Pelodiscus sinensis: one gene and its partner. The protein of the gene in region 2 interacts with the protein of the main gene of each other region in a pairwise test. Links are inferred from orthologs where the notes say so. Each region holds a gene or a part of one and is shown on either strand. Other genes may lie near its edges. The genes, in order: RYR2 and FKBP1B.

Region 1 (16,369 bases), about 110 Mb from region 2:
CAACTGCATTGGTACAAGGAGAGGACTCTAGTGTAGGCACAGCCTAAATGGATTAATCTTTACTTTGTTTGGAAGCATAAGGAAACCAATTCATGACTGAACCTCTAACATTTGTGATACTTTCCATTCTGCTCATTCTGAAAAGTAGCACCAAACCCTTTTCCCCATACTTAAAACCATTTCCTCTACCCAGAAACCAAATGTGGAAAAGTTTCACCCCAAAATGTTGTTTTGAATAAGATTTAAGGGTCTAATCCTGCTTTCATTGAAGTCAAAAGCAAAATTCCCATTGACATGGATAGTACAGGAACAACTCTAACTTGTTCAAAAAACAAATAAAATGGCACCAACTTCACTTCCTCTTTACTAACAAAAGGGAAATCTCTCTCAGCAAACATACACTACTTAATTTTCCCAGAACTTCTACACTAAGGGATTCATCAGATATGCCAGAAACAAAATCTCAATACAAATTAGCAGATTTGGAGTCTTTCCTTAATACTTTTATTTTATTTGCCAGAACTGAGATTATATTTACAGAATGGTAAGTACTGTGATTTCATTTCTAAGCATTCTGCATGCAAACAAGAGTTTTAGACTTCAGCAGAGACAGCATTTCAACCTGACAATTTTGCCAGGATTTTACCCTTGATACATATAATAGAACGTCTAAACCTTGCTGACTATGAGGCCCTTTGCAAATTAATGTAGTCTACAAATTTGTAAGCAAAACAAACATGATATCACATGTATTTTGTTCATTTGACAAGTGTAGGTTAGTGTTAACGATTTATGTCAAAACCTCATAATAGATTAATAAATATACTGTGGTGTATTTTTGTGAAAGTGAATGGATCTTCACAATGAGACCTCCTTACAGCATCTGTTATTAAATATTTGCTGAGTGAAGTGGAGAGACATCTGGATGTATATGCAAATATGGAATCTAAAATGTAGACTTGTACAACTGCACATAGGGCAGGAAGAGCACTACAGACCTTTTCATCTCCAGACAGCCAAACTGAGACTAAGTCACATCAAGGCAAATCTGAAATCTTCCCATACATTTCATTAGAAATTTCATTAGTAAAGCTTAGTAAAAACTGTTCAACCATTAACACAAATGACCAAAAAAAATCCAATTTCAGCCACTCAATTTTTATTAGAAACTAGAAGATTTACCCAGCATTGCTCAGATCTTTAACTGAAATAATTTTTGTTTTTCTTCATTTAAATCGTCACTCTGGGGTGGAGCTGGAAACAAGCAGTTCAATATGCAGACTGTCCCTAGAGCTGAGGACAACCCCGGTCATCTGTCATCGCAGCAACTTGGGCCCAGGTGAGAAGCGCCTGTCCATGGCTGCAGCAGCAGGCATAGCTGGGGGAAGGGTGCAAGACTCTGTCTGGGGGACAGACAGACAAGTGCTCTCAAATATATAGCGAACAGCTGTTCCTTTCTCCACCCCTGTTCCCTGCTGCCCCCTTGTTCCTCCCCATGGTCATTACATAGAATAACTATTTCTGCTAGTAACCCCTCTCTTCCCATTTCATGAGAAATAATCTCATCTAGCCACATCCCATTATCCTGGAACAACCAAATCCTTAACTTGCTCTAAGTTATAAGAGAAAGCTGCATACTAAATTTGGTGGTCTTGGTTCTTACCATTTAGGACAGTGGTATGCAACTTCCTAGGGGGTCGCGGCACTTGGATCCGGCCAGCCAGGGGCTGGGCCTGGTCCTTGGTGGCCATGCAGCGCTTAGATCTGGCCAGCCGGGGCCTGGGCCCGGCAGTTGGTGGCCACGCAACACAGGGGTCATGGTTCAAACAAAGGTTGTGTACCACTGATTTAGGAGGAGTTCTTGAACAGACTCACAGACCAAGACAGACTGTCTCAAAGATACAGTAGATTATAACAAGGTTCAGTTTTAAGTGACTGCAAAGATGCTACCCCCTAAAACTCTTATTCATCCCTCACAAAACCAAATCCAAGTGACATAATTAATTCACGAAAGTCAAGCTGTATTTTAGATGCAGTTAAAAAAGGACACCACAAACTTACTTTTCTTGCCTGAGAGTTTAACCTGCTATTGTAACAAGTAACACCTAAAAACTGAAAAATTATAGAAAAAAAATCTGTACTTTATTTAACTGGTATGTTTAACATGACTGTGTCTTTAAGGTGCTGCTAGACTATTCGCTGTTTTTTAAGTTTTTCCAGTTACAGACTAACTCAGCTACCGCTCTGAAGTTTGTGACTGTGTACAGTCATTTTCAATGTTTCCCCACATTGTCAGTTTCTCCTTTTTGGCCCTGATTCAGAAAAGCACTTAAGCTAACACTTATGTCTATCCTTATGCAAAAAAAGCACCTAAAGCAGTCTTCTGTATCAGGACCTTGGTGTTTACCTTTCTTACAGTGACAGAGGGTGAGAAAACCAACTTTTTAAAAAGTGATATGACTGTGTAAAATCACGCAGTTTGGTAGGGAAACTCAGAACCTGATGTAGCACTGAAACTGCATTAATCTGAATTTACAAATTAGAGTTCTTTTAAATCCTGCAGCTTTAACTCCTATGAGCATCCTCACCTTCATCTAACAATTAACTCCATACATGGCCAATCTTAAAATGTATTTAGATATTAAAAGGAATAGAAATCCTCCTGCCTCAGGACATTAGTTAACCGACTGATGAAGGATGGAAAGCAACTTTCTTGAACCGCTTTTTGAAGCAGCCGATAAAGGCAACTCTGACAAATAGGGCAGTGGACTAGATGGATCCAGTAAGAAAATTCTAATGTTCATATCAAGTATTCAAATACTTGAACCAGTTTATTAAAAAAATTAAAGTATTTGTGCATATAGTTCACAAAAAAAGAGGGATAAATTTGTTGCGTAAGTGGTACACTACATATACAGTAGTCTATTCAAAATCAGAATTTGAGCCCATATTCAGTGTTAACCCTATAGTGCAGTATTGGAAGGAGGAAGATGGATACATTGCAATGCTAACCATGCCGTCCCTTTCATGAGATGTTGACCTGTGGTCCTTTGCATCAGTCTCAAGTGAATATCCAGAAATAACATGCTGAGAGCCATAAATGGTACTTTTAAAAATTGACAAGAGTGTTCTGGTCAATGTACTCTCAGTAAAACTACCTCAAACACACAAGGCTGGTTTTTAAAGATTTGCTGAGGGTATCTTCATGGGTGTGATTTTATACATAGTCACTGCAACTGCCAAAATCTAATTCATTATCATAAGCCACTTGAAGTTACCTGATCTATAAAAAGCACGATAGAAAAATAATTCAGTACGATTGCTTTCCACACTAGGTAGAAGTTCAACATACGTTTATTTTTCTTTTTATTATCTGGAATAATTTAGATGAAGATCTCACCTGTTCATTTTGTTTATTTTCCATGCATTTCCACTGTGATTACGGTGGAGTACCTCAGCTCAGGACAGCATTTCAGCACATAACTTAAATGAGATTTAAAGTGAAGCACATGTTTAAGTGCTGTCCTGGAAAAGAATGCTTTCCTGAATAGAGGCCAATGTGATTTTGAAATACAGAGTGTTATCTCCCTCAAATGTCATTAGGCATGTCACTCTTTTAGACTCAAACTTGAATCCTTTCCACAGTGGTCTCTCACTGTCACTATGTCAACAAGTTATTACATTTTGACCAGAGAGGTAATAAACTTCATTCATGCTTAAAAAGTTCACATAAGTCCTGCATAAGTTCACGCTTCCTGCTGAAGTACTTTTTAATCAGTCTCCCATATTTTGAAGACCTTTGTTACACTCTGACACTGGCAGATTGAGAGCTAATCTGAAGAACTATAAATTCAGGTGGGAAATGAGTAGGAACAGATTTTTTTAAAGCAACAAACTGCTAATTACCCTTGCAATAAAACAAAGAAAGGCTAAGTAAAGAGTGGAATACCAAGTGGAAAGCACAGATTCCATTCTCCAGAGAGATGACTCCATTAGATCTGGAGACAGGAGAGTTACTTAGGTTGTTACCTTTTTCTTTTAGGTATCATACTCATTACAAGCATCTTGACTTTAGCTGCCTTGCAGCCCGTTGTGAGGGATTACAGTACTGTTGGTTTAATTTCCATATGTTATAACTATGTCCCATGTACGAATTTCTGAAAGAACCACCGAGCTCAAACTTAAGAAAAAGCTACAGAAATTGACAACCCACCCAAGTCATCCCTACCACTTTTGCGAAGGGTCCTTGGAAACATTTATAACACAACACAATTACCACATACTTTAGACATATGATTGCCCCTCAACTCAGTTTACATCACAGGTTAAATCCAATTCAGGAGGTGATGGTGCTGGAAAGCCCAAAAGCATTTTTATCCCATACAAAGGATATTGTTACCTACCACCTTCTTGAAAGATTAAGACTAGATTAGTTCCATAGATAGGGAAGACCCATGGAACAGAGTTATACCTATGACAGTTTTAAAAGAATCCAGGCTAAATTTGTCAACCCTCCAGGATTGTTCTGAAGTCTCCAGGAATTAAAGATTAATCTTTTAATAAAGTTTATATCATATGATAAAGCCTCCAGAAAGTAAGTCCAACCAAAACTGACAACTCTAGTTCAGGTTTCTAACAACAGGATCGGCTTTTTCATGTCTGTATTATGGAAGGAGTCAGATTGATTGATGAAAAGATTTCCTGTTCTTCTTCCCTTGAAGTCTAAACTGAGTTAATTTCAGGTAAATTAAACATGAAATTCTTTACCAGAATTTAATCTAAATGTTATCAGCTATAGAATAGACAATTCTTTGAATATGAAGACTGACATGTGAATATTTATTTTGTACTATGCATGCTCCTTTGTTTCTTAAAAAGAAAAAGAATTAATAGAGGTGGGGCTTTCCCCCTATTAAATTCATGAAGGAAACATGCCCCCTCCCCCAAGTCTCTCACCCACGTGCATGCAATTTTAATGAAGGCAGCCAGAAAAAGAGACCTTGGGTCTGGCAGAAAATTATTTATAAAATATAAGATTACCACCAAATTGAATGTTAAACAAAATCATGAGTCTGAACACTGTCCATTCCAAGGGGTGAAATTCTTAGGGCTAAACATTTCCCTGAGGACTAACCTAATGATAAAAAAAGCAGTATTCCAGTCCAAATCTCAAGGATTCCTAAAGTAATGTTAGCATTGTTCTTCCAGCATCATAAGGAAATAAAATGTTACACCCTTCTCTTTAAAGGGGATGTATCAGATTTGTTTCAAAAGGAATCAAGAATCCACAACAGCAGCAATTTTGCAGGGAGCCATGCATGCAGCCATCTTGTCCGAAAAGGTAGCAAACAAACAAGGAAAAACAGGGAAATTACACTAAGTAGAAGAGACTGGAAAGGAAAAACAAAAATAAAGATCAATATAGGGGACAAACAAATTTTAATGGAAAAAATATACTTAGTTTTCTCTCCAAGAATTTACCTGAACATAGGAAGTATCTTACTCATCATCACATATTAGGTCCTTCATGATACATTTTATCTACCAAACCACCAATGCACACTTCTACCACCAATAACTAATTGATTAAAAATAAAGATACAGAAATTGCATTCATCATCAGTTTACAAACTAAATATTTTATCAATGCCATGCAGAAAGTATTACATATGACATATTGAGCTTGGGGAGATGAGTCCTGAATTTCAAACAATTAACTAAGACAACATTTGTGTGAAAGTTGTTTAATGTTTGGAAAACAAATTTTCCATCTCTTCTCAGAGTAATGTTCCCAGCACAGGTGTATAGGGGAGAGGAAGGGTAGATGGAGGCTTAAGACAAGTCACCATATAGAAACAATTTAAGACTGGAAATTCAAAATTTCAGAAAGAAATAAAGTGTCTACAGCCCTTTTTTTCCTATATGTCTAAATCCCTTCAACAAAAACTTTCCACTACTCCAATTTGCCACCTTCTTCAAGGTCATTTTATTACAGACCAACATTCTAAGGATTTTTAAAGGATAATCCCAGGCTGGCATTGCGAGATCTTGATTACCAGCAGGACACACCTTATCAGAAGTGGTCTTTTACATAATGAGCTGCTGCTGTTAGAGTCTGTAGTTTTTAACATTACCCTATATGTACATGGAATGACATTACATGCACATTGCTTCAGTTTCCCCTTTAAGCATTTCAGATAACACCATCTCCATGAGCTAAACTTAACATTTAAATCTTCAGTAAACCTGTAAGTGCACAACTCAACCAAAATATTTGCACTAATTTTAGCACTAGGAAACAACAGACAAATTGTGAAGCCATATCTTCTTTCTGAGACTGCAGAAATGCACAATAAAAATCTATTTGCCAGGACCGCAGTACATGTGCCATAATACTAACAAGAAAAAAATTGACAGTTTATATTCCCTTTTTTAACATTGCTTAACAATTATACTCTCGGCAGGACTGGATCTTTTGATGGATTCAAAAATATTGAAAGTAGATTATTTGTTTCAGCAATCCAGTTTAAAGCGAACAATGCAATAAAAGAAATCTCTAAACCGTCTTACACAATGCTGCAAAACAGTACAAATGTGCTCTGCCTTATACCAGCTAGATGACGCTTTTCTCCTTTTTACGCACCTTTTTCTCATTACTTGTCACAAATAAAAATGTTTTCAAAATATGGTTGTTCTAAATAAAATGAAGAATGAAGTTAAAGCTACACCATACAGTTTCAATGTCTACACATCTCCAAAGTCTACATTGCTCTCAAAACTACCTAGTTGTGTATATAGCAATATTCAAAAATACCTTTTTGCAAAACTTGCTAGAACCGTGTGTAAAAACAACACTTGCGTCAAGCAAATAAAGGCAGTAACTGACTAGAAATAGTTCAAAATGAGCATAATTGGCACTCTTAATACAGAGCCAAACTGAGAGGAGAAAAGCTTTGGCACTTCAAAATGTTCTGCATTGAAAAAGCAGAGGAAATAAAAAAAGATGTTTGTAAAAGGATGTAAGTACTAATTCATTTTCAGCCATAATGCCTACAGTTGTGAGGTTCTGGGGGTGGGGGAGAGAGAACAGGAGATATTCTTGTTTTATTAGGTTTTCATGTTGTTTTTGCAATAGGCACTTCAATTGCAGCTTTGAGGCTAAGCATTGCTGCTGGGTTAGTAGCTGCAGTGTACAGCCCAAATCAGAGGGTGGAAGGGGATCTCCGAAAGACCCGTTTTTTTCCTTGTGTGACTGTCGAGCATGTGATGCTGCCTTGCCTGGTACCGCTCGTTCTCCGACTGTCCGCCTCGCAATAGATTGCCCTGCCCCCGGGTCAATGGTGGAGTAACCCCAGCCGACCCAAAGCCGCCGCACACATTACTTTTAATTGTCACTGCATTGCTAACGCACAACCGAGAGCCATTGCTGCTCCTTGGCTTTGCACTCCCACGCAGGCACCGTGCCAGGAGCAGCCAGCCACCCAGCCCGACCCCAACGCTTCTCTCCTTCCCAGCCCCATGGACCCCGCGCAGCGGCTGCCCGGCGCTAGCCCTCAGCGCCCCCCCCCCCCCCCACACACACACCTGGATGCGCGGGGAGGGGGCGTTATGATTTTGTGCCGCGGCGCGTGTGCGCGCCTGGGAGAGCTGGCGAGCGGCTAAAGGGGGAATTCCTGGCAAGGCTCTCCCAGCCCCCTCCCTCAACTCCCGCCGGGGACAGGGGGCTTCCCCATCACCACGGCCACACGCTCCCGTCGGCGGGTTGCCCACCCCGCGCTTCAGACGCCTACAGGGCACAAGCTCCCCCCGGCGTTCCCCGCCCCCGGGCACACCAGAGACTCCCCCGCCCTTCCCACGCGCGCCAGGCACCCCCCCCCCCCCCTCCCACACACAGACACCATGTCTCGGCACGGCTCAGGGGTCCCCTGGAGCTAGTGCAAGGCGCACGCTCCCCCCGCCCCACACAGCTCTGCTCCTGCCCCCAAGCAGCCCCGGCCCCGCGGGAGGAGGGAGAGGAGCGCGCGGTGCTTACAGTCCGCAGGAACTGTATCTCGTCCTCGCCCTCGCCCCCTTCGGCCATGGCTCCCCCTCTGGCCCCGCAGCGGTGCCCGGGGCGGTGGCAGGCGCCCCCCGTGGGGCTGCAAGCTCAGGGAGAGGCTCGCGCGCGGCCCCGCGCCGGGCTGGGGGAAATGGGAGCGCCCCGTGGCTCGCAGCCTCAGCCCCGCTGTGCCGGTCTCTGTCGCTCGCTCGCTCGCTGCAGCAGCTTGACGGCGCTGCCCAATCTCCTCCGTGCCAGTGCCTGGAAGAGGAGCGATGTGATTCACTGGGCTGGGGGGTAGGAGGGGGGCGGGGCGGAGCTGCTCGGCTCCCCCGCTGCTGCAGGTGATCTGCAGCCGGCTCCCTCTGCAAAGCAAACCTGCGGCCCAGCGCCCCTTACTGGCTACTCGACAGACAGACTGTGGCTGCGCTCCCAGCCTCCCTCCGCTGCGACCGTGGCACAGTGCTCGTGTTACACACCGGGCATTGAGGGGGATGCTACAATCAGGAAGAGATGGTGGGTAAAATATTCAAATGGCCACCAGCTGCAGGTGTCCAACTTGAGACCTCCCTCCCGAGGGACCGGATTTGCAAAGGTGCTGAGGAGCTGTGAATGATCAACCCCTCTAAAAAATTAGCCCCCACCTGTCTCACCTTGCACACTCAAATCTGAAGCACCCAGAAAGAATGGCGAGTTAAGCCATAGGCACCTGTGGGTGCTTATTTACACTAGTATCAGAGGGGTAGCCGTGTTAGTCTGAATCCGCAAAAGCGAGGAGGAGTCCTGTGGCACCTTATAGACTAACTGAAGTGTAGGAGCATGCATCTGACGAAGTGGGTCTTTGCCCACGAAAGCTTATGCTCCTACACTTCAGTTAGTCTATAAGGTGCCACAGGACTCCTCGTCGCTATTTACACTAGATTTACATATTTACTTCTGAACACACAGCATATGCACAACAAGGGAGAATGCTTTGTGTGTGTACATTAGGTGTTGTAGGATTAGTGACCACCATAGTGGAGAGTTTCCATTCTAACCTGTTTTCAGCGGTTACATAACTTTTAGAAACTTTCACCTTCCAGGATGCTGTTTTAGTCTTCATCTACAATAGACACTGATTTTTATAATTACAATTAAAAATTCCTTAGCTGTTAAAATGGGAAAATAGCAAAAGAAATATTTCCCTATGATTGAAAACGTTTAAAATAATCTATCAAAATATTATAAACAGCGCTACCTACAAAATAACTGGAAAGTTTAAAAGCTTCAGAGGGGTAGCTGAGTTAGGCTGTAAAAAGAAAAATTTAGAAAACAACGAATAGTCTAGTAGCATCTTAAAGACTAACAAAATACTTAGCTGTATCATGAGCTTTCATGGGAGCAACCCACATCTTGTGCCTATGAAAGCTCATGATACCGTCTTCATGTTTTATTAGTCTTTAAGGTGCTACTAGACTATTTGTTGTTTTGGAAAGTTTAAGATGGTCTAAAATACACCTTATTTAACAAAGGTGCATTGTGATTCCAATGAGTTTTTCCAAATCACACTTACTGCATGTGCATTGAATTTAAATGATATTTAAACACACTTTAGACCAATGATAAGAATATGATTAGATTTCTTTACTACAAATCTTTAACCATGCTGTAACTAGGTCTTCTGTTTTATCTATATTGTAATTTGAGCCCTTGTCTAGCACCCCAATTCTCCAACTATATATATAAACAGCCATATTGAACTCGGGGACTACTCATATTTGTAAAGTTCCCTTCATGCGTAAATAGTTCCATGATTGGGGGCCATATACAGCCGCTCTCCGAGTTACGAACGAGTTACGGACCAAGACTTGGTCCGTAACTCGAACTGTTTGTAACTCAGCCCCCATAGAAGTTACATGGCAACTGCACTGTTTGTAAGCGCGGATCGCCATTCGTAACTCGGATCCGCATTTACGACCACTTTGGTCGTAAATGCGGATGGTTGTAAGTGGAGGTGGCCGTAAGTCGGGGAGCGGCTGTAGTACATTGTAATATATATATAATATACCTTCCTTTGCATCGTTTATGGTGAGCCTTTGAGGCAAGTGCTGCACTACTGTACATGTAATAAGAGCATTAAAAGAAAACATGGAAATTATATAAACAGTTCGCAAAATCATCAAAAGGCTGATAAGTTTTGTATAATTTCCAGCAAAACATCATTAGGAAATGTACAAAGTAGCTAACAAAAAGATTTTTCTGAATAGCTCATGAACTGTGGGAGAGATTAACTATAATTGAAAATACATCATTTTGACATTCATCAAGCAGCAATGTGCACATACACTCACAAATATGAGGGAGAGCACATTGCTCCATATGTATAACAAATGCAGTCAACACAAAAATGTATTAAGCTTGCTTAAGTGCATAAAGCATACCAACACCACAAACATATAAAAGCCAGAAATCACTAACATTCTCCACCATCATTGTTTTGTCTTCTCCATATTACCTGCCATCTCTCGCACATACAGCCCTTCTCTCATTACCAATGCACAAAATTTGCAACCTTTGACTCCAAATGAGTATTATGTTTAGAAATGTGTGGTTTCAAGTTGTTCAGAATGTTGCACTGGTGTTGTGTTGAAGATTAATGTGTAAGGTTTCAGTTAATTGTTGATGAGTTGGCTGATTAAAAGAGGGAATTATTTGCTAAGTGGAAATAACTTGTCATACTGTTAAGAAGTTAAGGGTTACAGGATTTTTCAAAATGGGGCAGTTCTGTCAAACGATTCCCGTCTTGACCTCGGGGTTTTTTCAAAAAGTGGCTTTTCGAAAAAAAAGCCGCAGCCGCCATTATGTAAATGAAGCATGGGAAATTCAAATCCCGGCTTCATTTACAATTTCGATACATCTAACTTACATCCTTTTATCAAAAAAGGGATGTAGTTTAGATGTACCCTTACTGTCATGTCTGCAGTCTATGTTGTTTTGGTGAGATAATAGAAAAGAACACACACAATATCAAACTTTGTCAGTAAATTACATTTGTGGGTGGTGTCATGGCTACCTTTTATAGAGAGAGCTAGAACACACCCACACATCTGTGTTTCTCCTACTGCTGTTAAGGGTCTTCATTCTGGGGTTTGTGAGGAGCAGCTCCAGAGGCTCTTCACAAATTGCCATCCCCATCACAGACCTGGCAGTGGGGTAGCGGCTGGAGGGGAAGCAGTTCCAGCTGTTCTTTGTCCCCCTCTTCCAGGCATGAAGGGAATTAGCTTCACTTCTGTCCTGTAAGTACAATGTTAGCTGCTCCCTCTACCCTAAAACTTCTGTTGGCTGCTATGGGGAAGAGAGCTCTATGTGTCTCCTGAAGTAGCCCTCAGACTCATAGGCTTTCAGGCCAGAAAAGATCAGCAGCAGCATCTGGTCTGCCTTCCCCCAGATTACAGGCCACACAACCTCTGCTACCCATTCGTATAATAGGCCCATAACTTCTAGCTGAGTTACTGAGGTCCTCAAATCTTGATTTAAAGACTTCAAGTTACAGATAATCCAGCATTCTAATTGGGTGCTCGGCCCTAGGTGGCAGAGAAGAGGGAAAAGCAGCCAGAAGAAAAGTGTGGAAGAGCCAGAAAAGTGTCTGGCAAGAGCTAAAAGATCTGTGAAGGCTGGAATTACTCTTGTCATCCCCAGACTGGCTCCAGCAGAAGCCCAAAAAGCCCATTAGTGGTGATAAAATCAAAAGAATGGCAATGCTATTTATAGATGGCGGCTGAAGATGAGGTGATGTAGCAAAAGCAAACTCCTGGCTGTCAGTTGGAGTGAGGAGTTAAGTAGTGAGGTTTCTGACTTTTAATGCTTATGGGGATGGCTTTTTAAAAAGTTTGTTTGTTTGATTATATTTCTCCACTGTCGCTACAGCTGTCAAGTTTTCAACAAAACATTATTTTGTGGAAAACATTCTGCTAACAAAAGATATAAATTTTACTTGAAAATACAGTTGTTAAAAAATGGAATTTAAACTGAAAAACTAAAAACCAGAATAACATTTTTTTTCTTTTTAGCACCTCCAAGCAGTTTTTGTTTCTTAAAGAAAAAAAAACAGAAAAAAATATCAGTTTTGGATTTTGGAGTTGCTGGGAGTTTGGGGGGGCGGGAGATTTGTTTGGGTTTTTTAACAAAAATCCGAAAGATTAAACAAAATTCAACAAATGTGGGGAAGAAATAAATTCCTTTTAGTAAACATGTTTCTTAGAAAAAGTAATTTCCTGACCAGCTCTAGTCTACGTCAATGCTGACAGCTACCAACACGGATAGCTATCAGAGTGGAGGATTTGAAATCTGCTATATACAGCTCTATTCCTCATACTAGACCATCTCCACAACAGCACTTTCCCCATGTCCTGCCTCAAAACTGATTTTGCCACCTCATACATGACCCATGGCCCTCAACTGGCCCTTTATAGCCCTGTTGTTGGTGTTTTCTATTATCACCCTTTCTACAACATTTTCTCTCTCTTTCTCCCAACGTTCCCAGTCAATACCGTGCCATCCTATTCTCCTCTTACATTCAGACATTAACATGCATCACCAACATTAATACACGTCAGGGGGGTAACTGTGTTAGTTGGTAACTTAAAAAATAACAAGTAGTCCTGTAGCACCTTAAAATCCGACAATGTGTATCATTATTGAAAAGCTGAAAATGTGGTAGGGAGTCAGATCTCTCCAACTGAAATTCTCCTTTTCCAAATCACAGCAAGTTTCCTGAAGGGAGAAAGTGGCTCTGGAACAGAGCTGCTGCCTTTACTCCTGAAGCAATTCAGCTGCAAGACTTCTACTGTTCTGCCCCCCTCTTCTACAACTTGAGCAAGAAAAGGAGCAACAGTGTATGAAATACTTCCTGATGCTGGTACCTTGATACACTGGGGGTGTGTCTACACTGTACCCTTAGCTCAAAATAAGCTACACAATTTAAGCTACACAAATTGTGTACTTTATTTTGAGTTAATTTTGGAATAGTGCCAAATTACGAAATAAACTGCTATTCTGAAACATCCCTTAATCCTCGTGGAATGAGATTTACAGGGTCGTCAGAATAACGAGCCTGTTCTATTTCGAAATAATGGGCTTGTTCCAAAGACGAGGAATATTTCCACAGTGTAGATATATCCTGAGGCAGCAGAACTATAGATAGCCCTCAGTATGCCAACACTTGAAAAACAGGCCCGTGCTCCAAACAGCAGCTGTTTTGTGTGCTAAACAGCCAAGACCACAGCACCCAGGTAGTGGTGTCTGTTGAGATGCATCAGTGTGGATGGAAGCCCAACATACCATTTGTATATGTTGTTAAATGTGCAATGTGGCCAAGTTAACTTTACTATCAGAACCATAACACTTTCATTTATAGGATTTTGAACATATGATTTTATAACCTTAATGTTGTATTAACATAAGTCTTTTGAATGCGTGTATAGCGATGTAGATCTCTCTAAAACAAATGTCCCAGTGCAGAGGAGCCACCAAAGTTTCTACCTACACTATTGGCCATAGGCATTGTGCCGACCCTGTTGACAGTACATCCGAAAATATGTTCTCAAGTTTTTTCTTCTTTATTCCTGTCTCTACTGGAATAATCTACTATATTCACCCAATAAAATATAAATATTTTCATTTTCTCCCCCCAAAATGGTAAAATAACTCTAGGGTGGGGTTATAAGATTATCTATAAATAATCCTGATGCAGCCAAACACACACACATAGGCTACGTCTACACTGGCCACAATTTCCGGAAAAGCCATGCAAATCAGGTAAGTCAGGATAGGGAAATCCGCGGGGGATTTAAATATCCCCCGCGGATTTAAATAAACATGTCTCCAGTGATGGAGATTCCACAACCTCCCTAGGCAATTTATTCCAGTGTTTAACCACCCTGACAGTTAGGAAGTTTTTCCTAATGCCCAACCTAAACCTCCCTTGCTATAAGTTAAGCCCATTGCTTCTTGTCCTATCATCCTTACTACTGAAACTAATACAAGCCTGAAAAATGCTTATGTTACAATGGGTACCTGATTTGTTCTTTTTAGTTATATGTGTGTTTACACCTGTATTAATTTTTCATAGTCTTAGAAGGAAGGAATCAATCACCATGGGACCATACAAATAGACACAGTCCAAACCTTCTCACACTGTGTTGTCAACATATCTCACAGCTGACTGACTGACAACAGTTCTGATAAATCCTGAGCAGAGAACCAGTTAAGTTGAATTGTGTAAGACAGTGAGGGGTTGTTTCTCTGCTCACTTAAATCATTACAAATAAGAAGTATCTCCTCTGAAGTCAATGGAGTGTAAAATCTGTGCCACTAAGATCACAATCAGACCCTGGCTGTTTTGTACCTATGGAAAATTGGTGACTAGGGAATGAGGGGAAAAAATTCATTTCCAAACATTTAAAATAGGATTTCATTTTGGATTAGACTAGGGATGATTAGATACCCAGAGCCAAAAGCCAAAACTCTGACCTGTTTACCCAGTCAGAGTTAATAATGTATTGCATTTTGTTTAGTTAGTGAAGCATTGTATTTGTTTAGTTATAAAGCATTTGTTTAGTTATAAAGCATTGTATAATAATATTATACCACTGTTTAAATGTTATGTGTACAGGTGCAAGGCTCCAGGTGTACAATACATACACACAAGTATATGTATTTTACTATGTTATCTTTACAATAAAATGTAGAGTGAGGTTCTTTTCTTTTTATATGGGGACTCAGAGGTTAACTCACCCAAAAGCAAAGTAGTATGGAATTAAGATAGAAAATACACTCATAGCTCACTGCTCTACATCTAATAACAGGAAACAACATCAAGTATTGTGTGTTGTACTATGTGTGGCAGTGGGATAGAGGGATCCTTGCCTTGCGAGCTACAATGTTGATTGTACCTGGGGCAGGGTGTGAAACTCTGCAATTGATGTGGACAGACTGGTGAAATGAAGATGGACACATGGGCTGTGTCTACACTGGCATGAAATTCCGGAACTGCTTAAAACGTTTTCAGTTTTTCCGGAAAAGGAGTGTCTACATTGGCAGGCTGCTTTTCCGGAAAAGCCCTTTTTCCAGAAAAGCGTCTGTGGCCAATGTAGACGCGCTTTTCTGGAAAAGACTACTGGGCTGTCTACACTGGCCCTTTTCCGGAACAGTGTTCCGGAATAAGGACTTATACCCGAGCGGGAGCAGAATAGTTTTTCCGGAATAGCAGCTGATTTTGTACAGTAGAGCATCGTTGCTTTTCCGGAAATTCAAGGGCCAGTGTAGACAGCTCGCAGCTTATTCCAGAAAAGCGGCTGATTTTCCGGAATAAGTGGCCCAGTGTAGACACAGGCTGTGTCTACACTGCATCCCTTTTCCGGAAAAGGGATGCAGATTAGACAAGTCGGAATTGCAAATGCAGCGAGGGATTTAAATATCCCCCGCTGCATTTGCATGAAGATGGCTGCCGCTTTTTTCCGGCTCAGGGCTTTGCCGGAGAAAAGCGCCAGTCTAGACGGGATCTTTCGGAAAATAAAGCCTTTTCTGAAAGGTCCCTTATTCCTGATTTTAAGAGGAATATTTAAGAGGAATAAGGGGATATTTAAATCCCCCGCTGCATTTGCAATTCCGACTTGTCTAATCTGCATCCCTTTTCCGGAAGAGGGGTGCAGTGTAAACACAGCCTAGGGGTATGTCTAGACTACATACCTCTGCCGACGGAGGCATGTAAATTAGACATACCGACATAGTCAATGAAGTGGGGATTTTAATATCCCCTGCTTCATTAGAATAAAAATGGCCGCTGCCTTCTGCCGGCTCAGCTGTTTGTCGGCACAAACTGGCTGTCAAGACGGGGATCGGTCGACGAGGAAAGCCTTTGCCGACAGATCCTGTAAACCTCGTTTCATGAGGCATAAGGGATCGGTCGGCAAAGGCTTTCCTTGTTGACCGATCCCCGTCTTGACTGCCGGTTTGTGCTGACTAACAGCTGAGCCGGTACAACGCGGCGGCCATTTTTATTCTAATGGGGGATATTAAAATCCCCGCTTCATTGAACTATGTTGGTATGTCTAATTTACTTACCTCCGTTGGCAGAGGCATGTAGTCTAGACATATCCTAGGGGTATAATTAGGACAATGAAATAAGAACAACAAATACGTATTACATATATCAAATGTAAAGCCATAACTCCTGGACTGCAGGCTAGGGCCTGTAAAATTTCAGTTTAGCCACATTTGATTACTGTCTTAAGGCGACTTGACATGAGTGGGTGACTTATGCCAATAAACCCTACGATTACTGCAAATGTT
Region 2 (16,626 bases):
TTAAACATTAGCAAACACATAGGTACGGTAGTTGGAGCTGCCCGGTCAAGCGTCATGCCTTCAGGAGACTGATCAGAAAAATTTTAAAAGGTGAAGAAGGGACAGAGGAACAGGAACAAATATGATCATGAATTCTGAAATGACAAATGGTTCTGGAAGTGCAAAGCTGTCCAGACAGAACATTCAGAACATGCCTCACCTGTATAGTGCACCACACACGTCTGACCCTTCTTTGGAAATGTTCGTCCTGTTAAAAATAAAAAAGTCTTAGATTAACCATCCTATGTGGGAAACTTTAGCTTTTAGTAGAGGTGGGCTCAGGAAGCTAGACTGGGGTTCATAGAGTTTGGGCATCATTAGGCCCCAATATACAGGGTGGGGTGAAATGGTTTAGGATAAAAGGTCCCCTATTTAGATTGGGAAGACATTTTCTTATATTAATGTGATTTTTCTCCTTTCTGTCAAATCTAATATATTTTCTTAGTAGTTTTAACAACTGATTTGTCGTCCTCTGACAGCAAATTACATCCTATAATTGCAGGGGGGTGGCCTCTGGAACGACATAAAGAATTATCATTAAAGCTGTGATTCTTTCACAGAAATTACAGATTCCGTCACTTCCTCAGCATCTGCTGTGACGGATTTCAGGGCCACCCAAGCAGCTGGCCCCAGGGTCAATTGCTTCCGTGACCACAGCCACCTGCACCAGCCAATGCTAGAGCTACCCCAGGCCAGCTGCTCTGGAACCCCACAGCCGCTCACCTCAGCTGCCACTGAGCAACCTGGAGCCAGTTGTTCCAGTGGTCCCCAAAGCAGCCAGTGTTCAGGAGGCAGCTGGCTCTGGGAACCATGTGAGCAGCAGCCCATGCAGCTGGACTGGGCACTGCCCAATGAGCAGTCACGGGGGCGGCACCAGGGAGCACCTGCGCAGTGGTCCCAGTGGCCACCCTGGGGCCAGCCACACCAGGCTGCTGTTTGGGTGGCCCCAGGAAGCTGGCTGTGGGGACTACCAGAACAATGGCTGGTGTAGTTGACTCAGGGGCACGTCCATGCAGCAGTCCTGGGGTATCCTAAGGACTGCCTGAGCAGCAGCAGTTCCGGGACAGCTGGAGCAGTGACCTCAGGGGTGCCCCACAGCTATCTGGAAAGCAGTCTCCAGAAGAGCAGCCAGGGGACAGTCATCCCACAGCACTGGAGCAGGGATCCACCCAGCAGGGACCCTCTCGAGAAGTGGGGCTCCCGAAGTAGAGATTGAATCAGGAGTATTTTGGGGTAAAAATCTGGAACTGGTCATGGCCTGGGAATTTGTATTTATTGCCCATGGCCTGTCCGTGGCTTTTACCAAAAATAGCTGTGACTAATCTTAGCCTTAATTATAATCAGCTTTAACTTCGCTGAACCTTCTCCTCTGTCCCAGAGGGGTAGTCATGTTAGTCTGTAATTTTAAGAACAACTTTTAAAAAACAACGGGTAGTCCTGTGGCCCCTAAGGGTACATCTACACAGCAGGACTAAAGTCAAATTAAGCTATGCAACTTCAGCTATGTCAATTGCACAGTATAAGTCCAAATAACTTATTTTGGCTTTTGGCGCTGTCTAAACCGCAGGAAGTCCTAGGAAGAGCCTCTTCCTCCAACTTCCCTTACTCCTCATAAAATGAGGGTTACAGGAGTAGGAGTAAGAAGTCCTCCAGCTCAACATTATTTTGAAATAATGGCTTGCTGTGTAGATGCACACTTTGTTATTTCGGAATAACGTCAAGTTATTGTGAAATAAAGCTGCTGTATAGACGTCCCCTCCGAGACTAACAAAATATATAGTATCATGAGTTTTCATGGGCAAAACCCACTTCTTCAGATGAGATGATCTTGAGACTCAAGATAGCACTCCTGTCCTGAAGACCAGGGCTGTGTCTACACTGGCATCCCTTCCGGAAAAGGGATGCTAATGTAGCATATCGGAATAGTAAAATCCGTGGGGGATTTAAATATCCCCCGCGGCATTTGCATTAACATGGCTGCCGCTTTTTTCCGGCTTGAGGATAAGCCGGAGAAAAGCGCCAGTCTAGACGGGATTCTCCGGAAAATAAGCCCTTTTCCGGAGGATCTCCTATTCCTTCCTTGAAAGTAGGAATAAGAGATCCTCCAGAAAAGGGCTTATTTTCCGGAGAATCCCGTCTAGACTGGCGCTTTTCTCCGGCTTATCCCCAAGCCGGAAAAAAGCGGCAGCCATGGTAATGCAAATGCCGCGGGGGATATTTAAATCCCCTGCGGATTTGCCTATTCCAAAGTGTCTAATCTGCATCCCTTTTCCGGAAAAGGGGTGCAGTGTAGACACAGCCCAGCAGTCAGTAGCTATGAGAAAGCAGACTCCAGGCAGACCCTAATGAAGCATCCTGATGATCCCCACAAATTCTGCCCCAATCCCAGGTGCTGACAGCTGCAAACTTTCCCCATAGCAGACACTCCAGATAAGCAGTTATATTTTCAAGAATTATGTATTTTCCAGGGTCACCTCGGTAGCTGGCCAGCCACTCCACTCAGAGATGTGCTGTTGAGTCACCAAAGTTTGCATACTTCAGTGGTATACATGCTCCAGACAGAATTGCAGCATAGGAGCAAACACTTGCAGGAACAGGAACATCAGCTGAAGAAGGATGACAGAGCACAGCAGAAAAACCTGTTTGAGTGGCTGCTTTCACCAACAGCCACAAGATTGCAGGCGCCTATACCAAGGCCTGAGTCCAGTCCACAGTACCATGAACTGCATACGAGTGCTTGGACAATTCCATGATTGTGCAGCCCACGCACCTGGGACTTAACAGCAGCTAGACAGTGCAAATCTATAACCCTAAAATGAAACCCTTCCCCTTGCAGTCTGCCATACCTTGCAGGCCTCCACAGCCATGCACCGGTGAAAAGTGCAAGCTAAATGCACAAGAAAGGGAAAGAACATGCCAGTTAACTCGCAAAATTAGGGAATTTTTTGAGGGTCCTGTTTGCACTGTTCAGTGTTTGATGGATGCACTTGTTTTATTACTTGGTTGTGGTGTTGGTTTATTACTGTTGTTTTGGTATACAGGCCTGCCTGGCAATGCTCTAATATTGCTATTTGTATCTTACAAATAAGGGCTTGTATTTTATTAGGAAAGTTTATAGCGCTTATCCATCACATCTTCTAATGTGTATTTTGAATAATAAAGATAAACACAGGGTAGGGCAAAAGTTGTAGCCAAACATAGTTTCTCCATATCGTTATGTACAGCAATGAATAGTAAATGCACGGTCTCTCACCACACATTACATTAACAGTCACATCATCCAAGATAAATGTTCATGATCATCAATACTACTCCTGTTTACTGTGTACAGTTACAGTGCACCCCCATTTCTTTTCCCTGATGTGACAGTACCTCATTTACTGTAAACATTGCTGTACAAAAACAATCATAAATGTCCTGTTCTCCCTCTTCCATTGGTCCAGCCAAGTCTTTATGCGGGAGCACAGACCATCTATGGATTTCAGTGACCTTGTTCCAGGTGTGAGATCAGGCACTTTCTGGTGATGTGTACCAGTTCAGCAGTACATTCCAGTCAGCAGGGGCAAATGGCTCCCCTTTGGCTTCACAAAGACTGTGAAGAGCCTAGCAAGGCACAATGATGAAGACCAGTGCAGCCCATGAGCATATTTTTTTCTACCGGTATGATTAAAGTGACACGCATGTAAAGAAAGGGCATGTGAAGTAAGGTGTGTGTGGATTGCACACAACATTGACTATAAGAGCCGTGTGTTCCCTCTACATCCAATCAAAGCGCTGCTATGATTCAATTGTCACACGCTGCAAAATCTAGGTATGCAAGTGCAGTTAGCAAAACTACCCTATCCCGGAAAACCATCTTGGTTACGACAGCCTTGTGTGGCTGAGATGGAGGGCCACTCATGCAATCCACTCACTAGCCTAGGTTGCCCATTGCTGATGTAGACACTGGAATTTTTAGACAAGGCCAGCAGGATTTCAATTAGCCAAATATACATTCAACCACCATTGTTTGTATATCTGCTGAGAGCGTTATGAAACTTACTTTTGACAGGCCCTCAAGTCAGTATCTGGTTTCACAGATCAGGGTGAAGATGGGGTATGCAGGTTTTCCCCAGAATAGCAACAGTAATTCCATTTATGACAATACCATTTGGTGGGAATTGTGTCACAGCCTGTCCATGAAGGTAGAATACCAACCAGCGGAAAACCCTTTGCATCACATGGGAAGATTGATGCATTAAAGCCAGCATGCTCACTGAAACCTTGTCACCTGCATTGAAGGAATGATCCTTATACACCAGTTCTGCTGGGCTGGACATTGTATGTGCATGCCACATTCTCGCCTCCCAAAACAAGCCCTCTACTCTCACCTGATGTATAGTCAGAAATCCTGCATTGGTCAGAGGCAATCCTACAAAGACATACTAAATGCATATTTAAAAAAAAACTGACGCGGATGAAGGAAGGAAGGAAGGAAGGAAGGAAGGAAGGAAGGAAGGAAGGAAGGAAGGAAGGAAGGAAGGAAAATGAAAGAACTTTCTCCCAGCAGGCAACTGACTCACCAGGAAATGGTGCGGAATTCCACAAGGGTCAGTTTTGGGACCAGTTCAGTTCAATATCTTCATCAACCATTTAGATGATGGCATAGAGAGTACACTTTTAAAGTCTGCAGATAATACCAAGCTGGAAGCAGTTGCAAGTACTTTGGACGATAGGATTATAATTCAAAATGATCTGGACAAATTTGAGAAATGGTCTGAGGTAAATAGGATAAAGTTTAATAAGGACAAATGCAAAGTATTCCACATAGGAAAGAACAATCAGTTTCATATGCACAAAATGGGAAATGATTGTCTAGGAAGAAGTACTGCAGAAAGAGATATGGGGGCATAGTGAGACTCAAGCTAAATATGAATCAACAGCGTGTCAACTATTGCAAAAAAGCAAACATCATTCTGGGATGCATTAACAGAAGTGTTGCGAGCAAGACAAGTCATTCTTCCCCTCTGCTCTGTGGGCATGTCTACACAGCACGCATAAAGCCGAAATAAGATTCGTCAACTGTGTAGCTTAAGTCGAAATAGCTAATTTTAGTTTTTGGCACTGTCTACACAGCAGGAAGTCCAGGAAAGAGTACTCTTCCTCTGCCTTCCCTTATTCCTCGTAAAATTAGGGTTACAGGAGTCGGAGTAAGAAGTCCTCCAGCTCGACATTATGTCTAAATAATCGCTTGCTGTGTGGATGCGGACTATGATGTTATTCCAAAATAACACTGCTGTGTAGACTCAGCCTGTGCTGATTAGGCCTTAACTGGAGTATTGTGTCCAGTTTTGGGTACCACATTTCTGGAAAGATGTGGAGAAACTGGAGAGGGTCCAGAGAAGTGCAACAAAAATTATTAAAGGTCTAGAAAACATGATGTATAATGGAAGACTGAAATAAATGGGTTTCTTCAGTCTGGAAAAGAGAAGACTGAGAGGAAACATGATAGCAGCTTTCAAGAATCTACAAGGATGTTGTAAGGAGGAGGGAGAAAAATTATTCTCCTGAATCACTGATCATAGGACATGAAGCAATGGGCTTAAATTGCAGCAAGTGAGGTTTAGGTTGAACATTAGGAAAAGCTTCCTAACTGTCAGGGTGGTTAAACACTGGAATAAGCTGCTTAAGGAGGTAGTGGAATCTCCATCTCTGGAGATATTTAAGAGCACGTTAGATAAACATCTATCAAGGATGGTCTCTAATCTAGACAGTGCTTGGTCCTGCCATGAGGACAAGGGACTGGATTCGAGGACTTCGCAAGGTCCCTTCTAGTTCTATGATTCAAAGTTGCATGACAATGTGATCCTATCAGTCTGTGCTTGTGGTCCTGCTCCAGAATTACTGGTCTATGCAGAGGGCACGAGCAGAAATACTAAAAGTCATGAGGTGCATCAGCTAGTTTGAGTTTTCCATGTCTATATCATCCTCCTCTTCCATCATTAGCTCTGTCAGGTGACTTCAGTGGATCAGAAAATGCCACCAAAATGTCCCCCAGCATCTCATGAAAGCTCTCCCCAGTTCCTGAAACAGGAGCAAAAGCAAGCAAGAGAAGTTCTTCCAATGATGACTCCATGTTCCTGGTTCCGATTGTTGGGAGCATGTAGACCAAACAGATGGATCAGCAGAATGCGTTGGTGGGCTGCAACAACTTCCTGTGATAAGTCGGATGGACAGTCAAGTTTTCCCATGATGTGCCACAGACAGCCAGAGAGTGGACACATTTGAGGAGTGTGCTAGGTAGCCTGGGATATGATTGGTTCCACTTGGAGGTTTAGGTTGTCTTGGTGGTACTGGAGCCCTGGTGTGGGGCCCAGGGTCAAAAATTTTTAAGTTAAAAGTCACGGATGAGTGTGGATGCTCAAACCCTGAGCTTTCAAAGCCAGGGTCTGTGAATTCAAATCCAACTACTCCTGGGCTTATGCTGACGCTGCAGTGTAAAAATACTCTGTGTGTCTGTAGAAAGCCTAGCACTGTGGGGCCCTGAGCTCAGTAAGCACTACTTTCACATCCCTACCGCCAAATATGATGCAAATACAATCCATATCATTCAATGTGGAAAGAGATAAAAAAGAGTATGATACAAGTCATCAGTGGCTCATATTCCACCCTGGCATAAATTGGTGTAATACCACCAAATCCATGGAGACACATTATCTTATACCAAGGCTGAATTAGGCCCAATGATGTTAAGACCTTCAACTAGTCACTATAACAAATCAACTTCTGAGTGGATTTGATGGCAATAGAACTTACTGGTTTTGGTTTTAATTACACTATTTAAATCTATTGGATTGGATTAAGCTTTGCAACCAGGCCAAATCACATTTATAACTTTATTTTAAAGAGCATCTTTCTTATGCACCATATCCCAATACATTCTAGAGATAATTAAGAAAATGAGAAGGCTAAATTCTGCCCTCACTAACACTTACGATAGAATAACAGTGGAGTTACTCTGAATTTACAGCACTACAAGTGAGAGCAGAATCTGACCCACACAGCTAAACAACAGTAGAGGGAGAAGACAGTTAAGAGACATAGGCAAGGGGTGGGAAATGATGTTGGTCCAACAGAGTTAAGCCAAGGATGAATTTGGGCCATAACATAGATACGTATGGCTCTATATTAGTAATGATCAAAGATCCCAGAAATCTGTTTGCCACAGAACAATGTGAGAAAATGCAACATTTGTGTTTCTACAGAGAATCTATAGTTTTTACATTTTGTGGAAAAAAAATAAAAACATGTCTAGTGGAACCCCAGGGGAAACTCAAGCTCAGCATTTTATTTTAATCACAGAGAAAAAAAAATCACAAGGATTGTAATGGGTTTTTTTTTAAATCAGGAACTTCTGGGAGTTTTATCACAAAAACTATGATCCCTGGTAATGACATCTGTCTTCAAGAGTTAGGGGAAGATGCTCTAACACCAAAGCAGAGTAGCTATTATTTTGATTTGAAAAAACCAAGCCCATAAAAATCAAAGATTAATACACTCACTAATCTGGAGCCATTACAAGTGTTACAGGTGCAATAACAACATTTAAAATGGGGGAGAAAATAGCTGATCCGGTCAAAATGCTGCTTCCGTGTGAAATGATTCTTGACATAAATGGCCTACTGTTCATGAAACGATTTGGCAATACATCTGTGAAACTTTGTTACCGTGCGTGTTAAATGCCAGCTTTTGCCACAGCCACACACGCTAATCAGCAATCATTTATTATGTTGATTTCCACCCTCTCTCTACAGAAATTAACTGTCTTGCTGCTACTGCTCCAATAATGTCTGGTCCAGAATGCGCTTCGGAAGTGAACTTGCTTTAGCTGCTGAGTGCTAAGGCTCACATTTTAAGGGGGTGTGCTCTGGACTATCATTTGCTCTCATTACCAAATTACTTCCCTGCACTTGGATTTATGCAGCTGTCAGCAAATGCCATTTAAATGTCCCAAACCATTCGCTACCTCTGCTGCTGCCACCAAAGGAGCAGCAGACACCGCAGCCTATGAATCCCAGAGAACCTGGTCCCCTTTCCTCGTGTGCTTCTGATCCAGGAGACTTTCCCCACCAGACCCTCAGGCTTCCCGCCCCCCATCCTAGGAATGTCACCCCCACACACACCCTTCTTTCCCTGCAGTCTTTGATTTCTTCTTCAGCTGCTGGACCCTAGGTTCCCCTTCATCTGGTCTCTGATTATCTTTGGAGTCCAGAGCCCCTGGGGCTGCAGGACCCCAGACTCCTTCCTCTTCTGGTGCCCAGAAAAACCGGACTCCCTCCTCTCACATTTCTCTCAGGCGGCGGCACCCGCGCTCCCCTTGACTCCCCTCCCCGCCCCCCGACGCCCTGGGTCTGCATTGTCTCCGGCTCGCGCCGCGTGCCGCGGCGAGCACCCCGGTCAGCACCCCTCACGAGAGCGAGCAGGTCCCTACCGTCTCCAGGGGAGATGGTCTCAATTTCCACTCCCATTATTGCACGGCTGGTCTGCGGCAGAGACCGAGCAATTCTCGCGGCTGCTTGGGCCACCCTCTGTGCTCAGCTGGGCACTACCCCACGCCACGGACCCTCTGCTGCATGCATTCCCCTGCCGAGCTGACTGACAAGGAGCACCGCAGCTGCCCGTCACACGCTGCCAGCCAATGCAAAAGCTGGGACGGGGGGGGAGCTCCCTACGCTGTCACCCAATCCCCCTTCTCTGCTGCACAGGAAAGGCCGGTCCCTCCCAGGGCTGGGAGTTGGGGGAGGAGGGGCAGGCCTCTCAGGCTGTAGTTCGCTGGGATTTGCTGCTGCTGGAAACATTTAAGGATTTGGCACTTCAGTGCTATTCCCTCCCAGCAAGGGCTTGCTGCTTCCTCACACCGCATATGCTCCTTCAATAGCTTTGCAGAAATTGCATCCCTATGTGCTGGGGAGTAAGCTATGCGGGCTGTCCAGAAGGATGCATTGCTTCCTTCAAGGCAGCTGATACCAGCTCAGTAGTCCCCAGTCCAGTGGTACCAGACCCAGTTTTGGTGTGTGGTACAACAAGCGCCAGCTCTCTTCCTGCTAATGAGCGTCTGTGTCACCATTGTGTCCCCACTGCCCACTGCTTCTAATTCACTTCTGTGTCCTCTCACGGGCGGTGGAGTTTGAGCTGCTCCCAACTCCATCAGTTATGCTTGTGAGATGTGCCACATGTGCCCAGGGGCTTCTGGAGACAGGGGGAGCGACAGGGAGAGCAAGGCCTGGAATCCTTACAGCACAAAGGCTAGATTGGAATGATGCTTCCCACATCTCTAGGCTGCATGCCGTAGAAGTGTTTATACTTCCTTGTTGGGGGGGGGGGGGGGGGCGAAATATGCACTACAATATCTATTAATTAATTAATTAAAGAAAAGCTGCTTTTAATGGTTAATTGTTCCCATCATGTTGGATTAAAAGTTGTAATACAGTGTAAGACACACATATTTCAGATATTTGTGTCTCAAACGTCTTTCCTCCTACGAGAATCTGTATGAATCTATTTCCATCAACTCTTAGGCTATGTCTACACTGCGAGGTTTTTGTGCAAAAATGGCTGATTTTGCACAAAAACCTGCGGAGCGTCCACACCTCAAATGCATTTTTGCTCAAGTAAATCAGCAGTAAAATGGCAGAACAGAGGACTTTTGCCGGTGTAGGTAAACCTCCTTCTATGAGGCATAACTCCCTTTTGTGCTATGGCTATTGCGCAAAATAACTGGCGCCAGAAACCCCTATGGGAAAAAGCACAGGTGCTCTGATGGCCATTCTCTGAGTGGCCATCAGAGCTTTCTTGCACAAGAGTGTCCATGGAGCATCCATCACTTTTGTGATGAGCTTTGAGGTGTGGACGTGCTCTTGCGCAAGAAGTCTGCTGTGCAGACGTAGCCTTAGGGAATAATTTTGCTGACAATTCTCTTTGGTTGTGGGAAATGGTCTGATCTTTTTTGTTTTTTAATAGGAGGAAGTGTGTCCCTCTGCGTCCAGTCTGTACAGGTCTGACATTTGACATCTGTCTTTGTAGTTTATCTTAATCGGTATATATCTGTCAAAACAGTCCCCAAGGGTCAATAATATTTCCATAGGGGTTCTGATGTTGCCTATAGGTATTACAAGGAGCCCTCGCTATTTGAGGATTCAGTATTCATGGTTTCTGTAGCCCGGTGGGGTACGCCCCAGATAATGAGGGGTGTCCCCCTCAGGGTCAGTGGGTGGCTACTCCAACCCACTACCCACAGTTCCAGTCTGAGCCCCAGTTCTAAGCGGAGCTACTGCTCTTGCAGTTTATGGGCCCACCCAAGGGCAGGGCAAGGCAGGGCTGCAGCAATCTAGTAGTCTGTAGCCCGGTCCTGGTCCAGGGCGACACTGCTATAGCCAAGCAGTCTCTGGCCCTAGTGCAGGGCGGGTCTACAGTCATTAACCAGTTAGGAAGCCAGCCCAAACACAGGGGAGGCTAGCACAGTTAAACAGGCAACAATTAAATGGCTAGAGGCCCAGCCCTTGGGCAGGGCAAGGGCTTCACACAAAGCAATCCCACCGGTTCACAACCAGTAGGTGCTGGTAAGTAGTCTGCCTCCTTGTTCAGGAGGGGTTCAGGCACCTTGCCTAGGGCTGCCAACCGCAGGAGGGGAGACTGCCACCCAATCAAGCAGTGGTAAGGGGGACGCGGGCTCTCCCTGCACCAGTGCGTCCCAGCCCAGAGCCCTAACAGCAGTCAAGCAGTCAGCTGCTGGGTCAGCAGGGATCCCGGCCCAAAACACACTGACCTGTTATGTCAGGGTCAGCGGGGGTCCACGCCGCAGCCTGCTGACCTTCAGCCAGACCACGGTTGGCTATCCCTGGGCCGGCTCTGTTTGTCCCCTCCCCCATATGGTACCTTTAGTTGGGGCAGGTCTTCAGGACAGCACGGGTTGGAGTCCTCCAGCCAGATACGCAGGCCCTCCAGGTAATCCTCCAGGAGGGCGCCCGGTGGCCCTGGCCAGCCATATGCTTTCCCCAGGTCCGGTTCCTTGCTGGGTTGGGTTGAGCTAAGCAGGCTTCTGGCTCCCCAGCTGTCTGGGACGAGCAGGCCTCTGGCTCCCTTGCTGGCTGGAGAGAGAAGGCTTCTGACTCCCTCGCTGGCAGGTCCCCAACTGGCCTTGCGGGAAGGCCTTTTATATCCCTGGCCCCAACCTCGGCTTCCTCCAAGGTGAGTCATCCAAGTGAGCCCACCATGGCTCAGGGAGGGGCGTTTTCTCCCTTCGGATCAGTGGGTGGCCACTCCAACCCACGACAGTTTCGCATATCCATTGTGCACTGCGCCGCACCAGCCCAAGTACATGATGCAGTGTGATGATGCTTTTTCAGTGTGCTCTACTAAAAAAAATTATGTGCACTAACTTACAGCAGTATTTCAGTATTAATAGTATGATCCCTCTGTGGAACGGAGCCTGAAAGTTAAAAGGGAAAATGAATGATATCCACATTTCCCAAAGTCACAGTCCTATGCAGCAAAATATAGTCAGAATGTATCTATACTGAGATTTATCTGAAAAATCTCTTACTATTGCTGTATCAGTGGGATGATGGCTCTATCAATGGCTCTATCGATGACAGCAGAAGTATGAGAATAGATTGGCCATTTTTAATATCATTTGCCATGCATGGAGCAAGTCTAAATGGAATAATGGCAAAAATACAGGCATCCAGGCTACATGATTACTCCCACTATTGCTAACACCAGAGAGAAAATACCCATACAGTGGTGGAAGATTTCCCTAAAACTGTACACAGAATCTCAGGTTTGGTCATCACTTGCTACAGAAACCAAAGCATATTTTAAACACCCTTCTCTTCTATTCACTACACTGGGAAAATGACTGGTTGAAAATGGATCCTGGATTCCTCAGACAGTTCTCAGCCAGTATTGAATATGGTTTAACTGCTAGAACAGACAGAGACAAAACATCTTCTTCATTCCTGATGGAACTTGCCATCTTCCTCAATTTCTATAATGGGTTTTGTCCTATCTGCACTATCAGCCAAACTGTTTTCAACACCTACTTGGTCATGTCCCAGTGTCTGACACGCCTTGCCAACAATTAGGTGTGCAGAAGGGGGACAAGCAGGAGTGTGGATCCTCTAATAATCAGTGGGAGCACAGAACTTTTCTGGCCCCAGGGCCATGGTGGGGAGAGCAAGATCATATGGCCCCATAGCCAAAGTGGGACCTGATAGCTCCTCCAGCCCTGGGATTGCCAAGGGGCCACAAAATGTGCCCTCCAAAAGCAGTAAAATTTAAATTTGTGCATGCACCCTGCTAACAGTAAATAATTTTCCAAATGTAAATGGTTACAGTGAAGACAAGGTTGTCTAAGTGATGTTTAGAAAGTTCAGTAACTGTTTGTCATCAAAACGGTATAATTATTCTGCTAGAAATGTCATTAACCTCTTCTCTCTTTTACAAGTCACAATGGATTTTCAAATGAGAGTGATCTAACTGAGCGTGAAAACTGTAACAAAGAACATTTAGCAATGCAAAATGCCTCTAATTATTTGATAATGTGGTGTGTTCAATGACTTCACAGTAAGTAAATTTCCATTCTTACTCAAAGCCAACAAAAAGTTAGAATTTTTTTTTATTAATAACAACCTAAGTGAGAGTCAATCACTAAAATCAGGAATAATTTGGCCAATGAATGATGAGTCAGAGAAGGAGAAGATCCATTAGATCATTCAAACCTCTTTCTTTGCCAAAACAGGATTCTTCCCAAAATATGTTTCCTAGTAGGCCTCTGCCCAGTCCAATTTTAACTGTTCCAAGCAGTAGAATCCCACCATATGCCTTAAGAGACTATTCCACGTCTGAATACAGATCACCCTCAGCAAATGTTCCTTCCTGTGATGGGTGGAGAAGTTTTATTGTCAAAGGAAAGTATGGAGTACTCATTGGACAATTTGCTTGGTGTTTCCAAGAGGGAGGGCTGGGGAATGATATATGGTGAGGGAGGAAATGAATGGGGGTCTGTTAGGCTATGTCTAGACTACAATGATCTATCAGAAAAAGGTACACACAGTTTTTCAGAAGAGGCTTTTTCGAAATATGACCCATCTACACTCCTCTTTTGGAAAAGCTCTTCTTCCTCGTGGAAGGAGGAAGACAGGGCCTCCAAAAAAGCACATCTGCTCTTCCAAAAAAAAAAAAAAAAAAAAAAGAGCAGATGCGTTCCCTGTATGCAGCAGAGTAGTCTAGACATAGCTTTAGTTGGGAGAGTGATTGGATAGGGCAATCCCTGGTTGGGAAGAAGTTAGTAAAGGGGGAACCATGCTTTGTAGACATAGCCAGAGAGTCTGAGCCCAGGTTCACTGCTGGGTGTGGGAAAAGAAGTACCTTCTCTATGGCTTAGTCCTCTTCTCCCCAGTCCTGTGGAGATCCCTTCAGGTACTCCATGATGTTCTGCCTCTACAGGTTGGCTATGGAGAGTGTAGGTGGACTGGCAGGTTCTTGCACAGTTGTGGAATTGTCCTACTATAACTTGTGCAGAATTTCCCTCCATACACAGAACCGCACACAACAGGAATGGCCCAGGGAGCTGCTGACAGCCTGTTTCCTGCCAGAGCCATACTGTCTTTGTGTAGCAAAGAGCAAGAGGTATGACGGAAAAACCTCTGTGCTGACATTCTTTGTTGCTGGTGGCTTTCCTGAGATTGCAGGGAAGTAAAGGTTGGGAAATGGGTTGAAGCCACCACTCTAAAAAATTTCCAGGAAGAAACATATTGCATCTCCTATCTGAGAGAAAAGCTGGAAGGGAACTGAGTTTTAACTTGGAGTATATGTTCCTTCAGATAGATATAACCTGGATAGGGAAACCCCACAGTTATGTAACATTTGAAAGTAAGAGAAAACAAAAGAAACACTTTCATTTTTTAAAATGGCAATAAGTTTCACTCTAATTTGCTATCCACACACAAAATCTTCCTGTCAGCAAGGTGGGTGAGGTCTAGTCAAGAGAGCAATAATTGCAAAGAGAAATAACCCTTAAAGGGATATGATGTACATATTGTTACCAGTAGATCTGCTCTGACAGGTTACTTATTATGTATCTTTATTAATTGTGCATCACTTTCACACTCTGTTTCAGTGAGATTATGACAGCCAGGCTATTTTTAAAGATAGACACTTTCTGAAAGGCATAGAAATGCAAGCATTAAAGAAAGCTACTCAAGATTCTTAACTTTATTTCAATAAATGACACATCAACTACAATTATTTAAAATGAAGTGGGTTGCTTTCAAAAGTAGTATATTTGGAAATTAAAAATATCACATTGTATTAGCCATTTTATACATTTAGGTTAACATTGGAGAATCTGTTATTGTTAAGCTTATATTCCAGATGGGACTGGTTCCTGCTCCTGTTGAAGTCAATGGGAGATTTATTCTTCATTTAATAAGTTTGGAGCAGGATTTGGCCAACAAAGATTTATTGCTTTATTCTCTGTTTCACCATGAGTAAATAAAGAAATGAAGTCTAATCCTATGCGATACTGTCATTGAATGGGTAAGGTACTCGGTATTTCATAAGGGTGGGTTTACAGTGCACAGCATTGTATGAGATAATAAACCTGCTGAGTTAGTGGAATTCAAAACATGTTCTAAATAAGGGGTTATGTTCTGATCACAGTTACACCAATGTAAATGAGAAGTTACAATGGTATTAATGAGACCAGAATCTGGCTCGATATTCATGCAAGAGCTGGACAGTCGTCTTCACATTTTGTATTACACTAGAGTGGCCTTAACTTAGCAACTGCTTATTAAGGTTGCTGCTGCAAGAATGCAGAATTTAAAGAAAATCTATGGTGCTACCATGACCATTCCAAATTACAAGTCTATGTTGTATGTGTCCTGTAGAGATCAATGCATGCCATATTCACATAAAAAAAATTAAACACTTGTTCTAGTTATAGAAATGTACACAGAATAAATTAGGAGAAATTGTCTCTTTACTTCTGCTTTTTATTTTCCTTGCTGAAAAAGGAAACTAGGATGGGTTGCACTGCACTGTGTCATACTTTCAGTTATACACTGCATGAATATAGAACTTGGCATAAACTAAGAAATGCATTTGCTTTAAACTCTGTTGCCTTTTCAATTATTTGTCCTTTATCATTTTCAATTCTACTGTATGCACACAGCTGTTCAGGCACCTTCTAGAGCAGGGGTGGGCAATAATTTGTGAAGGGGGGGGATGCTTCAAAAATTTTGAAGCAGTTGCAGCTGCCCTGGAATGGGCGGGGCTTTGGGTGCAAGGGGCGGGGCCTTTAAATAGCAGGAGTTGAAAGGGCTTGAACCTCCCCTGCGGCTCCCAGGCATCACTTTAGCGGGGGCAGGAGCTGTGAGCCCTTTTAATTCCTGCTATTTAAAGAGCATGCTGCTCCCAGCCCCTTGCTGCTAGCACGTTGCCTGGTAGCTGCGGACATGAGAGCCATTTCGACTGCTACTATGTAAAGGGCTCACTCCTTCCCTGCGACTGTTGCCTGACAACTGCGGGGAAGGCGTGAGCCCTTTAAATAGATGCAGTTGAAAGAGCTAGCATGACCCGGCTCCCAGGCAACACGCTAGAGGCATGGGAGCTGTGAACCCTTTCAATTGCTTCTATTTCCTGGCAGCCGCGGGGAAGGCAAGAGCCCTTGAAATAGAAGCAGTTGAAAGTGCTGGAGCATCCCGGCTCCCAGGAAGCGTGTTAGGGGCTGGGCCAGGAACTGCTGCACTGGCTGGATGAAAGAGCTACACAGGCCGGATCCGGCCTGCTGACAGGCTTTTGCCTATCCCTGCTCTAGTGTCCAATTTAACCTCTGAAAACTCATGCAAACCTCATGCAGTCAAAGATACTGCACATTAAATGGGTATTACCTTAGGCACAGACACTTTTTTACCCATATTACTCCTTCCCACAGAAACACTTGTGGGAGGGTCACTGCAAAAGGATTTTGTATTAGTTCAGTGTAGAGATGTGACTTTAATAAATTCAACTTGATCTTTCAGAGTAGACAAGGCCCAAATAGACCAGGTGTCCTTGCTTCTAGTTTATGTTGGTTATATTTTGCCTCCCTGTCTTGTACATTACATATAACCATTGAATAGGATTTCTCTCTCCTACTTCCCCTGCTATAGCCCCTTAGGAATCTTTGAAATTGGACTGGAATCTGAGATTGGAATCTGGCCCTTACTCTTTCCTTCAAAGTCTGTAAAGAAATATCAGGCAATTATTTCATACTGTAGCTTACTGCCAAGGCTTAACAGTGTAGAATCTGTTTCCTCCATTCATTGAAGGAGATCTTCGTTCACAGAAGGTCAAGGTATTAGAGTGTTATTTTTAAATATACACCCAGCATCTAAGAGTTAAAAATAGGCTCCTGAGAAAATGTGAGTGAAGCATACAGTAATTAGCTAAACCTTCTTAGACATCACATGACGAGTATAACTCCTCCCAGGAAAAAGCATAGTAAAAGCAGCTTTTCACATGGATTTATACTTAGAAGAGCAGCTGGAGAATCACAGTGTGAAG

What was found.
Region 1: the proteins of FKBP1B (region 2) and RYR2 interact in binary tests that used the Homo sapiens proteins (3 or more experiments, as listed by UniProt). The link is inferred for Pelodiscus sinensis from reciprocal best matches to the Homo sapiens genes FKBP1B and RYR2.

Annotation. Positions count from the first base shown.
Region 1 is NC_134713.1:127,595,098-127,611,466, reverse strand, and holds the start of RYR2 (ryanodine receptor 2), read right to left. Parts: upstream 8,638-16,369; 5' UTR 8,417-8,637; intron 8,300-8,416; 5' UTR 8,081-8,299; coding exon 8,033-8,080; intron 1-8,032. UniProt on the Homo sapiens protein: Cytosolic calcium-activated calcium channel that mediates the release of Ca(2+) from the sarcoplasmic reticulum into the cytosol and thereby plays a key role in triggering cardiac muscle contraction. Aberrant channel activation can lead to cardiac arrhythmia.
Region 2 is NC_134713.1:14,532,132-14,548,757, forward strand, and holds the start of FKBP1B (peptidyl-prolyl cis-trans isomerase FKBP1B), read right to left. Parts: upstream 8,745-16,626; 5' UTR 8,547-8,744; coding exon 8,510-8,546; intron 248-8,509; coding exon 200-247; intron 1-199. UniProt on the Homo sapiens protein: Has the potential to contribute to the immunosuppressive and toxic effects of FK506 and rapamycin. PPIases accelerate the folding of proteins. It catalyzes the cis-trans isomerization of proline imidic peptide bonds in oligopeptides.